3 linked regions of the Arabidopsis thaliana genome follow. The protein of the gene in region 1 interacts with the protein of each later gene in a pairwise test. Each region holds a gene or a part of one and is shown in the gene's direction. Other genes may lie near its edges.

The links. Proteins that work in one complex are often made in the same cells at the same time.
Region 2: the proteins of RR14 (region 1) and IND interact in binary tests that used the Arabidopsis thaliana proteins (3 or more experiments, as listed by UniProt).
Region 3: the proteins of RR14 (region 1) and RSZ21 interact in binary tests that used the Arabidopsis thaliana proteins (3 or more experiments, as listed by UniProt).

What each region holds. Positions count from the first base shown.
Region 1 is NC_003071.7:331,011-335,239, forward strand, and holds RR14 (response regulator 14), read left to right. Parts: upstream 1-1,891; 5' UTR 1,892-2,030; coding exon 2,031-2,379; intron 2,380-2,457; coding exon 2,458-2,862; intron 2,863-2,945; coding exon 2,946-3,022; intron 3,023-3,102; coding exon 3,103-3,504; 3' UTR 3,505-3,686; downstream 3,687-4,229. Other genes in the region: MAP70-3 (microtubule-associated proteins 70-3), read left to right, coding at 1-405, 499-692, 796-838; AT2G01755 (uncharacterized protein), read right to left, coding at 1,239-1,778; VIT1 (vacuolar iron transporter 1), read right to left, coding at 3,765-4,062. UniProt on the Arabidopsis thaliana protein: Transcriptional activator that binds specifically to the DNA sequence 5'-[AG]GATT-3'. Functions as a response regulator involved in His-to-Asp phosphorelay signal transduction system.
Region 2 is NC_003075.7:41,133-45,028, reverse strand, and holds IND (basic helix-loop-helix (bHLH) DNA-binding superfamily protein), read left to right. Parts: upstream 1-1,831; coding exon 1,832-2,428; 3' UTR 2,429-3,364; downstream 3,365-3,896. UniProt on the Arabidopsis thaliana protein: Transcription regulator required for seed dispersal. Involved in the differentiation of all three cell types required for fruit dehiscence. Acts as the key regulator in a network including SHP and ALC that controls specification of the valve margin.
Region 3 is NC_003070.9:8,426,725-8,431,368, reverse strand, and holds RSZ21 (RS-containing zinc finger protein 21), read left to right. Parts: upstream 1-1,883; 5' UTR 1,884-2,108; intron 2,109-2,127; exon of another isoform or gene 2,128-2,184; 5' UTR 2,185-2,204; coding exon 2,205-2,293; intron 2,294-2,365; coding exon 2,366-2,454; intron 2,455-2,550; coding exon 2,551-2,764; intron 2,765-2,969; coding exon 2,970-3,134; intron 3,135-3,271; coding exon 3,272-3,278; 3' UTR 3,279-4,112; downstream 4,113-4,644. Other genes in the region: AT1G23850 (uncharacterized protein), read left to right, coding at 4,324-4,644. UniProt on the Arabidopsis thaliana protein: Probably involved in intron recognition and spliceosome assembly.

The sequences.
Region 1 (4,229 bases):
CTTGGCGGAGCTGATATTATTCCGAAACTGACATCAAATGGATTTTTCTCCAAGAGGTCACCAAGTTCTCAGTTTAGATCTTTGAATGCTAGTACAAGCACAATATTGAAGCATGCGAAAGGAACATCCAGATCATTTGACGGAGGCAGTAGATCTTTAGATAGGAGTAAAGTACTAACAAACGAACCCAGATCGAAGTTTCCATTGAACCAATCTTCTGAAGGAACAAGCGGAGGCGGGTCACCTAATTCAACAAAACAAGGAGATTCAGAGAAAGCAGCAGGGACAAATAATGATAGTGTCCCAGGAGTATTACATGATTTGCTTCAAAAGGAGGTGATAACTTTAAGGAAAGCTGCTAATGATAAAGATCAAAGCCTTAGAGATAAAGACGAAGCTATTGAGGTTAGTCATTAGTTTTACACCTTTCCAAGAAACGTTTGCTTATATTTATTTATATTCTCTGATCAAAATACTTGGGCTTGTGTTTGCTTTTAGATGTTGGCCAAGAAGGTTGAAACACTAACAAAGGCGATGGAAGTGGAAGCAAAGAAGATGCGAAGAGAAGTAGCAGCAATGGAGAAAGAGGTTTCAGCTATGCGTGTGGATAACAAAGGATCAGATAGTAGAACGAGACGTCACTCTACTAACTCAAAAGGAGCTTCAACAACTGCACAGTTACTTTCTGGAAGGTACCTGATGTTTTCTTATTATAATGACCCAATGTAACGATTATAAGTTGGTTAGGTTAGTTTTCTTTAACACTTGAACGTTTGCTTTGCATTGTTGTTTTAGCAGAGGCTCAGGACGAATGGGGATGACGAGGAGCACGCAGTGATCAAAGAAGTCGATTCCACGAGCAAAATATGAATCTCAATTCAGTGGTTAATAGATTGAAGGAATGACAAAAAGCATACAAATATAGAAATCCAATATGGGAGGTTTGTGTGCTTCTTAACATAGTAAGATTTCAAAGTTAAAAACTGATTTTTAATTTCTTGGCTGATGTTTATTGTTTTCCTCATATATAGAAAAGAGTTAGGTTTGTGTTTTAACTACTAACTTGAGCTTAGTGTGTGATTTATTGTATCTCTCTCTATCTTACCTTTGTCCATTTTTCTCATTTTGGGGTATGTTATAGATTTAAGAAATTAGTTCAGAAACAGAGGTGAGAGTTATTAGTGAAAAAATTGAAATTGTCATTAGTTTCATTGATCCAGACACAACATTCACTAACATTAGTTGAGTCTGGTCTCCTTGAAGGCTTGAAAAGAGATGTCCCTTTGAATATAATGAATCTGTGAAGGATCAAAAGGACCTCTCACTCTATCAATCTTTGTAATGACTGCTCTCTCCGGCAACACACTCCTCGCCGGATCCACCGCCGTTTCTCCGCTCAAGCACGACGACACTCCTTTAAAGATTACAACTTCCACTTCTTCATCGTCGACAATGGCCGTCACTATAAGCGCTTCTTCTCTACACGACTGGCTATATATCTCCAACATCGCCATTTCCTCGTTGTATCCATACATTTCATCTTCATCTTCACCACCTCCCTCGTCTCTCACCCTTCTCCGAGCACCGCACCAGAACATCTTCAAAGCTCTTCTTCTCTCCGCCACTGGAGGGACGGTGAAAAGTTTTTTCCGGTAGTTATACGAGTTTGTGAGCGAGGGTATTTTAGTCATTTGATCTTTCTGTCCGAAAACGAATAATCCGGCTATGCCACCGGATAAATTCGCCGGCGTGATAAGCATTCTGATATTGTAGTGCATGAGGACCGTGACTTTGTCTATAGATAAGATTTTAAAGGACTCGTGTATGTTTACAAATAAGGGTAGTACCAATTGGATTAATTACAACAGAGTGCCACTACAGCTATTACCAGTCGCTTTCGTTGCCTCTCTCTTCAAACCAGTGGCTACTTACTCAACACTGTACGTCTTCAATCATTTCTTCTTCTTTCTTCTCCAACCAAAATCTCTTTCTCAGTTCTCTAGGGTTTTCAATACTCACACCAAAGCTTAATGCCGATCAACGATCAGTTTCCTAGTGGGTTAAGAATACTCGTTGTAGACGATGATACTTCATGCTTGTTCATTCTCGAGAAAATGCTTCTCCGTCTCATGTACCAAGGTCTAATTCTTTATCAAAGTTCCCACCTTTTAATAGATTTTCTCAAGAAAGTTTTAACATTTTTGTTTTATCTTCTCTTTGTAGTTACAATTTGCTCACAAGCTGATGTTGCGTTAACCATTCTAAGAGAAAGAAAAGACAGTTTTGATTTGGTGCTAAGTGATGTTCATATGCCTGGTATGAATGGTTACAATCTTCTTCAACAAGTTGGTCTTCTTGAAATGGATCTTCCTGTCATTAGTAAGACTCTGTTGTTATGTTTTGTCTCTAAAGATTGAATCTTTGCATCAATGTTTCTTACATTTGCTCTGTTTCTAGTGATGTCTGTTGATGGAAGAACAACTACAGTCATGACTGGAATCAACCATGGAGCTTGTGATTATCTAATCAAACCTATTCGTCCTGAAGAGCTTAAGAACATTTGGCAACATGTTGTTAGAAGGAAATGTGTGATGAAGAAAGAGCTTCGAAGTTCTCAAGCTTTAGAGGATAACAAGAACAGTGGTAGCCTCGAGACTGTTGTTGTTTCGGTTAGTGAATGCTCAGAGGAAAGTTTGATGAAATGTAGGAATAAGAAGAAGAAGAAGAAGAGAAGTGTTGATAGAGATGATAATGAAGATGATCTTCTTCTTGATCCTGGAAACTCGAAGAAGTCACGCGTTGTTTGGTCTATTGAATTGCATCAACAATTCGTTAATGCCGTAAACAAACTTGGAATTGACAGTATGATCCTAAACACTATCTTATTGCTTGTAGAAGAAATTCAAAGTAATTTGTGCTTATAAGAATCTCTCTTATTGTTTCAGAAGCTGTACCAAAGCGGATTCTCGAGTTGATGAATGTTCCTGGTTTAAGCAGAGAAAACGTGGCTAGTCATTTACAGGTTTCTTTGATTGATTGATTGAATCTTTCTTCTTATTAGGGTCTCTATAAGGGTTATGACTGAATCAATACCATTTGCAGAAGTTCCGATTGTATTTGAAGAGATTAAGCGGTGAAGCTTCGCAGAGTAATGACTCTGAGTCTACCAAAAGATATGAAAACATTCAAGCTCTGGTTTCCTCAGGACAATTACATCCACAGACATTAGCTGCATTGTTTGGTCAACCAATAGACAATCATCACTCTGCTAGTTTTGGAGTTTGGATTCCTAATGACAATCTTGGTAGATCTCAAAATGAACACTTCTCGGTTGATGTATCATCCGCTTCTAACCGTCCTGTTTCTGTGGCGGTTCATGGTCTATCTTCCTCAGCAAATTTCAGACAGAGAGGTGACGTTAACAACAACAGAATCAGACAAGGGTATGGATCAAATGTCAATGAAGAATCTTGGATCTTGGAAAGATCTTCAAGACAAAGATAGTGACCAATATGGATACGCTTAAGAAGAGAAGGCTCTGCAACTGTTTCTTTTAAATCTTCAGGAATGGATTAATGTCAGAAGAAAACTTGTGTGTCTGCAATGTTAGCTTAGGAAAGTAATTATGTAACCAATATTTTGAATTGTTATCTCTCACTTTATTATGGTTGCCAAAAGTTTTAGCCTGATAATAACCACAAGACATGCAACAAACAAGTCTCAAAGTACACAAAACATCAAACGCAACACTAGTTTTGTTACTGCTAATGTTGCACAACTTTAGCCAAACAAAAAGCAGCAGCTGAAGCAATCGCTCCTATAAAGGCGGTTTCAAACGCACTTCTGAGGGGCTTGCTTCCAGTGAAATGCCCTTTTGCATAGCCAAATATGAAGAGCGCAAACAGAGTTATAACCACAGACGCCACTACCGCATCCATGGCATGCGGTATGAGCATGTAGGGAAGTAACGGTATAAAACCGCCAAGAACATAAGCGATTGCAATCGTGAACGCGCTTTGTAACGCTCTTTTTGGATCAGGCTTCTCTAATCCCAGCTCAAACCTGTAACGAAACAATAAAGTCTCACTTATATAACAAGTTACATGCTTATAGTAGGAATATAAACATTTTGTGATAGGTAAAGAGTGTTAAACTTAACCAAATCAATAAGATAAGTTTTTATATTCACGTAATTTGTTGTTTTCTGTTTGTTACTATTCACGTACTTT
Region 2 (3,896 bases), on another chromosome or scaffold:
GCACTAAAAATGGAGACATGTGTTGAGTAACTATTACAAGAGCGACTTATGCTTCCTTATGGCAATGATATCCAAACCAAAGTGCAACGCTCCTTTTTTGCCCTAATTTCGTAAAGTCTCTCTCCTTCTTCGTCCTTAGGAAAAACCCTAGAAATTTAATCCCTTGTTCTTGATCTTGCTTTTTGAGTAACCATGATTTTGACCACACACTATTTCTTCTATCTTTTGTGGTCTATAGGATTTTGCTTTATATGTGTTTCTTGTATTGCTCCGTACGTACGTATACGAATTTAAATGGTTATAACAAGGTTTATATAAACTAGCACAAATGAGTCCATGAAATTTGTTAGCGAAAAAGGTAGAAATATATTGAGTCTTTAAACGGCAATATATATAATTTTGCTGCAAAACTTAGCTTTAATCATGATCTAATGATATTTTCTTTAATTTCCTTTGCCAAATTAATCACATGCACGGATTTTTGGCAAGTTATGTGTCGAATTCTTCCATTCACACAACACTAAACTTAATTAGAACTCTAGGAAATATTTTAAAATGACAACTTTATCGAAAAAAATTTAGTTATGAAAACAATTCCAGAATTAAACATGAGCTATATAATTTAAGATAAAATGAAGTAATATTGATATGTATGTAATAACATATCTGATTGCGGTAAAAAAAAACATATCTGATTAAATTGTTCATGCAGGCCCATGTCACTATGATGTCATCACGTTTTTATTTTCACAATAACTAATATATATTCAAAAAAATAGTTTTGTCAGATTAAATTTTTTTTGGTGGTCAGCTTTCTCCAACCTACTAAACTAGTTTGGAATGTTCTCTTCTTTATTTTTCTTTTTCTTGATTTCTTATGTTTTTTATTTATGGAATTTTAAGACGGATTGTTTAGGTCGTTTCTCTCTTTTCTTGTTTTCTAAAGTTACTTTTGTAAACTCATCTCCTCCCAATTAGACAGTCAATCATATAGTTATCTTTTAATATATGTCTAGTTGATAAAAAAAATGAAAAAATACTGGTGGTAGTTCTACTAATGTTTGTGTAAAAAATCTGATATTATGAATCTAATCAATTTCTTTGATCGTATAATGTGGGTTAAATTTAGTAATTTTTTACATAAATAAGAACTGTAATGTTGATGTATATTGGGGAATCAGTATATTAGCTTGGGTAACTATACTTCTGGAAATACTTGAAGATTTAACTATTTGCAAAATTATAATTTAGTCCCGAAAAATACAGACGACGGGACACGACAACATATAAGCAGGTTTGAATCTTGGAAAATTTTGTATACATAACCTATATAAATACTAATGTTCTGGTTGGGTTCAAAAGCCTTTTCAAAAGTTCCATTTTTTAAATTCAAGGACATTTTACATAGGAAATAAGTTGAGTCATAAAAAATAATGGTTATTTTGTAAGGTTTTTTTTTTGATTAAAACGCACATATTAAGAAGTTAGTTTTTTTTCACTACCAAATATCAATTAATTTAAAACCATGCAACCATTCATAAAACAATACTATTAAAGAATATAAATAATCACAAAATATTAAATACACTTAAAATTTACATATAAATTTACAAAACATCTAATTAATTGAAACAGAAAGGAAAAGGTAAAATATATCATAAAATGAGACATATATCCTATAAAAAAAAAATGAGGCATATGAAGTAAATAATAAGAGACATGCATGTAAGCATTCGGTTAATTAATCGAGTCAAAGATATATATCAGTAAATACATATGTGTATATTTCTGGAAAAAGAATATATATATTGAGAAATAAGAAAAGATGAAAATGGAAAATGGTATGTATAAAAAGAAAGGAGTGTGCGACTCTTGTGTCTCGTCCAAAAGCAGATCCAACCACAGCCCCAAAAGAAGCATGATGGAGCCTCAGCCTCACCATCTCCTCATGGATTGGAACAAAGCTAATGATCTTCTCACACAAGAACACGCAGCTTTTCTCAATGATCCTCACCATCTCATGTTAGATCCACCTCCCGAAACCCTAATTCACTTGGACGAAGACGAAGAGTACGATGAAGACATGGATGCGATGAAGGAGATGCAGTACATGATCGCCGTCATGCAGCCCGTAGACATCGACCCTGCCACGGTCCCTAAGCCGAACCGCCGTAACGTAAGGATAAGCGACGATCCTCAGACGGTGGTTGCTCGTCGGCGTCGGGAAAGGATCAGCGAGAAGATCCGAATTCTCAAGAGGATCGTGCCTGGTGGTGCGAAGATGGACACAGCTTCCATGCTCGACGAAGCCATACGTTACACCAAGTTCTTGAAACGGCAGGTGAGGATTCTTCAGCCTCACTCTCAGATTGGAGCTCCTATGGCTAACCCCTCTTACCTTTGTTATTACCACAACTCCCAACCCTGATGAACTACACAGAAGCTCGCTAGCTAGACATTTGGTGTCATCCTCTCAACCTTTTTCATGTTGATATATTATATATAGATGCATAAAGATTCGATCCAAGATTGTATGGGTGTTTTAATATTATTATTCTAAGATATATGATGTACAATTGTGTACCAAGTTTCTTTATCTTGATATCATATGCATAAATAATTGGTGAATAAAAAGAAGATATTGATTGTAAACAAAAAAAAGAAGATATTGATTGTTAATTAGGGTTTGATCATTCTGTATGAAAGCTTTGGCCTGCAAATTAATTTTCGATATATATATATATATATGGAGAATATATATCAAATACTTTTTTAATTTGACTATAATTTGTATCAATTATCTGAATCTGATGAGTGTAGGTTATATATGGATTAGCAAAAAAGAAAACAACCATTATTACGCACCTACATTAAAAATCATCCACCAAAGAAGAAACCATCCTCAAGAGGGTTCCCATATTGGAGAATAATGAAAAATTTAAGAAGAAAAGGGTCGAGATTTCGACGGACAAGCATTCTGATTATTACAAACATATTTTAGAGAAATTTAGAAAGAAAATTAAACTAAAAATTAAAAAGAAGCAAACTGAGATAACTCTCTGTCTCAATGGAACGCCGGCCAGAAGTGATCATCGTGATTTTGGTTACCATCTTGATAAGGTCAATCGAGGAGTGTATCCGTTTCAAACACCACACGTCCACTATATTTCGCCAAGTTAAATTGAAAGGAAGATGAACAATCAAGAGATGTGGTAGTTATTTTGAATTAAGCATATCCAAAAAGACCCTAGGCGAAGCTGAGAGATCGCAAGTTCGAGTGACACTTGGAACGAAACTAATATTACATGATGTGGTTTCGGGCCTAAAGGAATTACGGGCTTCGGCCCAGAACCTCCTGATATTCAAAAAAAAAAAAAAAAAAGATGTTTATAATAATGATCTTTGAAATTAAACCTCTACATTTATCATAATATTCCTAAATAGTACGTAAATAAAAAACATGCAACCCATGCATATCCAGTCTTAAGTTTATACATATAGATAAATCTCAAACCATACAAATACCATTGTTCTTGTGATTTTTTACTTCCATTTCCTTTTTCCTCCAACGGTGTCATATAAAGCTAACAAATAACTCGTGATTAAACGGACATTTCCAATATGGGCTTTTGGGCCCATAGTGATATGGGTCTCCTTCCGATATCTTTGACTGCGCGTGCCTCCAAAGTTGCTGTAGAGAACAGAAAGAGGCCTTCGATCCTGGCTTTGTCCAGACAAAAGCTGCCTCATCTACCTGGAACTTCGGTCGAGGTAGTGGTGAAGGGGGGATATGTAATCTCAGACAACTCCACAGGTGACAAAACTAGACGTAATCCTAATGGGGACAGGGTCGGAGCTAGAGATAGCTGCAAAGGCTGGAGAGAAGCTAAGAGAAG
Region 3 (4,644 bases), on another chromosome or scaffold:
CGACTAGTCACATCTCTACAAAGTGCAGGTAACGTTTTAAGAAATAATTATCATAATCCGTTGGCAAAAAAAAAAAAAAAAAGACTAAAACAATTTAATGTATTGGTCAAAAAACAAAACTTCTACACACGATCTAAGACTATATCCATATTGATAAGATGAATTGAATCGATATATATTCTTACTTTAACAAAAAAGAAAGATCATTAGAGTTATCTTGTCTTACTAAAAGTCTTAGATAAAGACATAAAAATGGAACAAACATCATTGGGAATGCAACATGCATGTACATATTACATATAGTAAATATAATATAGTTAAAAGCGAAGTCATTATTATATGACTAAACTAAGATAATTAAAACATGTAAGCACACATTATCGGGAATGTATTGATATTAAAAGGGCACCACGTAGGTCAGGGTGGCCTCTCAAACCCCCCAAGGGACAAAGCAGCATTAGGATTGTCACTAAAGTACTAACCATGTGTTATTTTACGATATTATCCCCATTTGGTGTTAATGGTTCCAAGTGTCAATGTAAATAACGTTGACATATATAAGCCGTGTTTTGTTTTCACGTTGTTTAGGAAGCCAACGAGGATTGGGTAATTGGATCCGAATCAGATTGACACTTTCTTCTTCTTTACTTTTCTTGCTCTTCCACTTGACAATACCAATTTAGGGCTTGGCTGGATACAAATGTTTTTATCCTTCTTCAACCCGTTATCCGTTTTACTAGACTTAAAAAAAAAAGAATAGTATGTGTAAATATGATACATGATATCATGCATTTGTTAACTACGATAAAAAAAATCGAATATCTATATTGTCCATTTTGCAGATATCCCTTTTAAATATCTAACTAAATATCTGTAAATGTGAGGTTTAAAATTGAAATCCGTATATTTTTATTGATATGCACAACGATAGTTACAATAAGTAACATGACACTAATAATCACTCCCCAAAATTTTTATACAATTAGATATAATTTTAAATACTAATATTCTATAAATATTTCACAATTTTAGAAATTTTGATACTAACCAATTAATGTTAGCTTTGGATAACGAATGAAGTTATGGCCATCTTATTTCTTCTGAGCCATCTATTTAGCCATAGCCATCCAAAAATTAAAGAGTATCTTATTCCTCCCATGTCCAGCTTAAGGGACAAGCCAGGGAATAGCGACACGTGTAAATTGAATGTCGATTTTGTAAAAGGAGGTAAGTGGGGTCTACACAGTGGCTGCAAATAAACGAATCATAACTAAACACGTGTCAAAGACACAGTCTTAGAGGAGTCGATGTAAGTGGGACCCAGCATGACTTATCTTGGTTCAGAATGTTTTCCCCAATGGATAAGTGTCTTTTTGTTTTTGGTGGGATGATGAAACCTTTTCTATTTACGTCGACGCAATTTTAAACAATGAGACTCTTTTTTTTTTGTGTGTGTGCAATCGTTTAGAGACTTGTTCACATGAATTAGGTGCCCAATCATGTGTAAATTGGTAAGGTATATGTAAAACTAACAATTGTTACACTTGCCAACTCCAAACTTAGATTTAATCAGCCTACTATATTTTGAAAATTTAAGAAGATACAAGTACTGATGCAAAAGTTGAAAACCAAAACCAACTCATATGGGCCATTAAGCAACTGAAACTTGCTCATATTTTTAAAATTTTAACCAAAAGGTTATGGGTTTTAGGCCCATTAGTTTTTTTCAGACTGAGAATCACGTCAAGTTACAGTAATTAGACATCAAACTCTAGAAACATGTTTGCATAACTTTTGTTGTCAAAGATGTTTTGCATAGTTTCAAAATCCGCTTTCACCTCAATTCTCTTTTTACGTTAACTAATCGACTATGGGAGACTAGTCTTACATTTTGGTCGCTAAAACTTTGTTTATGAATATATGGATTACCGAAAAATAAGGGACCATGAAATAACTAATAAATGACCAAATAATATATGATGTTAATTTTTTTTTACTTTTCAGTTTTCATATAATAATGAAATAACTTGGTTACTCTCTTTCCTCGCCGTAGTCTGAGTCTGAACCCTAAAACATCCCGCTTCGCTGCTCAGGACCAAGAATCTCAGGTACCTTGTTAACTACTCGCTGTAACTATTATCGATATCCATATTTCTTCACAAAATTCGATTCTCTTTCGTTCAGATTCAACTGATCTTTGCAACATGACGAGGGTTTATGTCGGGAATTTGGACCCACGCGTCACCGAAAGAGAACTCGAAGACGAATTCAAGGCCTTCGGTGTTCTTCGCAAGTAAGTCCTATCTCTGTACTCAATTTTGTTTCAAGCCATACGAATTATGACTCTGAATCTTAAAAATCGCAGTGTCTGGGTAGCTCGTAGACCTCCTGGCTACGCATTCCTCGAGTTCGATGACGAAAGAGATGCTTTGGATGCAATCAGCGCATTGGATCGTTAGTGTTCTTCTCATTAGACCTCTTAGTTACCATGTAATGTTTGTATTATTGTTTGGTCATTGAAAAGTTTTACTCTTGTGGCGTATACTTCAGGAAAGAATGGGTGGCGTGTGGAGCTTTCTCATAAAGATAAAGGAGGTCGTGGAGGTGGTGGTGGTCGTCGTGGAGGTATTGAGGATTCCAAGTGCTATGAGTGTGGTGAGCTTGGACATTTTGCTCGCGAGTGTCGCCGTGGTCGAGGCTCTGTGAGGCGTAGAAGCCCTAGTCCCCGTCGTCGTAGGAGTCCAGATTATGGGTATGCTCGCAGGTAACGATCCAACGGAAACATTCTTATTGAGCTGCTTAGATGAGATAGTATGTCATTAGTATGTCCATTGTGTTAACATATCCATTGAAATTGCACTTTGTAATCATGTATAGGGGCTGAGTTGTTAATGTTGATAGTACCTTTCTTGATGTTATAATCGCTTTGTGACATACATTTTTGTTCCTGTGGAATTGATTTTGTTCAGGAGTATAAGCCCGCGTGGAAGAAGATCTCCTCCAAGGCGTCGCAGTGTTACTCCACCTCGCCGTGGGAGGAGCTACAGCAGATCCCCTCCTTATCGTGGTTCACGCCGTGATTCTCCTCGCCGCAGAGACTCGCCCTATGGTCGACGTTCGCCATATGCCAATGGGTAAAAGTTCTTTTCTCTTCTTGGATTTAGGTTTACTTTCTCAATCTGCATGACTCAACTTCAGCATTGTCTATGTAGATGTGAATAACATTTGAAGTATTTTGATATAAGGTATATATTCGTTTGCGTTTCTGCAGGGTGTGAAACTGGACCCTGAAGAGAAAGAAGCTATTACTAAGCTATGATGCTATATCTACTCTGTGGCGCCTTTTAGGATAGATCTTTATATCTGCTATTATGGTATTAGCTCTTCTAGGTTTGGTTGTTGAGCATGGACATGTCATGGTATGTTCGAGTTTTATTAGACAATTGGATTTGGTGAGTTCTCCTTCATGCTGTTTTCCAACAGCCGTCTTGACTTATTCTCTATAACACGCACTGGCCTGCTGTCTTCACACAGCGTCCTTGAACCCCTACACTTGAGGTCGTTCTTTCGTATCCATAAATGTTTTGTCTCTTGTTGAATGCACTTTCCTTATTATATAGACATATCTAAAAAGCTCAACTGTTTCCACTCTTTTTCCCTTGTGAGGTATGATTTATCGGGGATCTCTTGGCAGCACAGCTGCATCTTACTCTCCCCACAACTTAGTTTTATCATGAATCTGCATCCTCAACTCGACCAACATCAGCTAGAATTTGCTTGTTACATTGTGTGACTTTTAGATTGCCCTGCTCTTTACTCACCACTCCTACCCCAAGTCTGCAACCAAGCTTCTATTGAGAAAGACGAATCTGTTTCTTCACCCCGTCCTCTTCCTAGCTCTCGGCTGCTATATCACCACTTGGTTTCTCTACTCACTTTTGTTTTTCGGTCAACTTTGTTACACATCTGTTGGTGGATCACACACTTACATTAAATTAAACCCATTTGTGGATGCTTCTTTTTTATATTGCTTGTGAAAAACGTGTTAGCTTAGTCTTTTGTGTTCATGATTTGGTTTCCCACTTATGCTTTTCTTTTCCCAATTAATCTCGACTTTTAATCTGTTCTTCTTCGGCCGCCACATGTTTTCATTTTAATACTTTTCTAAATTTGGTTTTGAGGCAATTTGGTTCAGATTTGTTGGTATACCAATTCTTACGTCAACGTCAATGAAGAAACGACTCCATATTTACGAATAAAAAACTGTAGTAGATCTGTACTCTCCCTTTTTCTTTGTAGAGAAGAAGAGAACTGTGAAAGAAGATGAAGATTGAGGAGGATCTAGGTTTCATCAACATACTCAAACGAGCAACAAAGCTTCTATGTGGTAACATCAATCTTGTTCTCTTCCTCTTCCTTTGCTCTCTCCCCCTCTTTTGTTTCTTGATCTTCTTCGAGCTTTCACTCCAAACCACTGTCTCACTCGCTTCTCAATACCTCGTTCGACAACTCACTAATTGGGATTACTACTACGTTCCTCAAGATGCTTCCGTCTTGGAGAATCTGATTCCATTGCTTATCCAGACATTTCTACTCTACTTGTTCCCGTACGGCCTCATAGACCTCTTCACCACCACCACAATA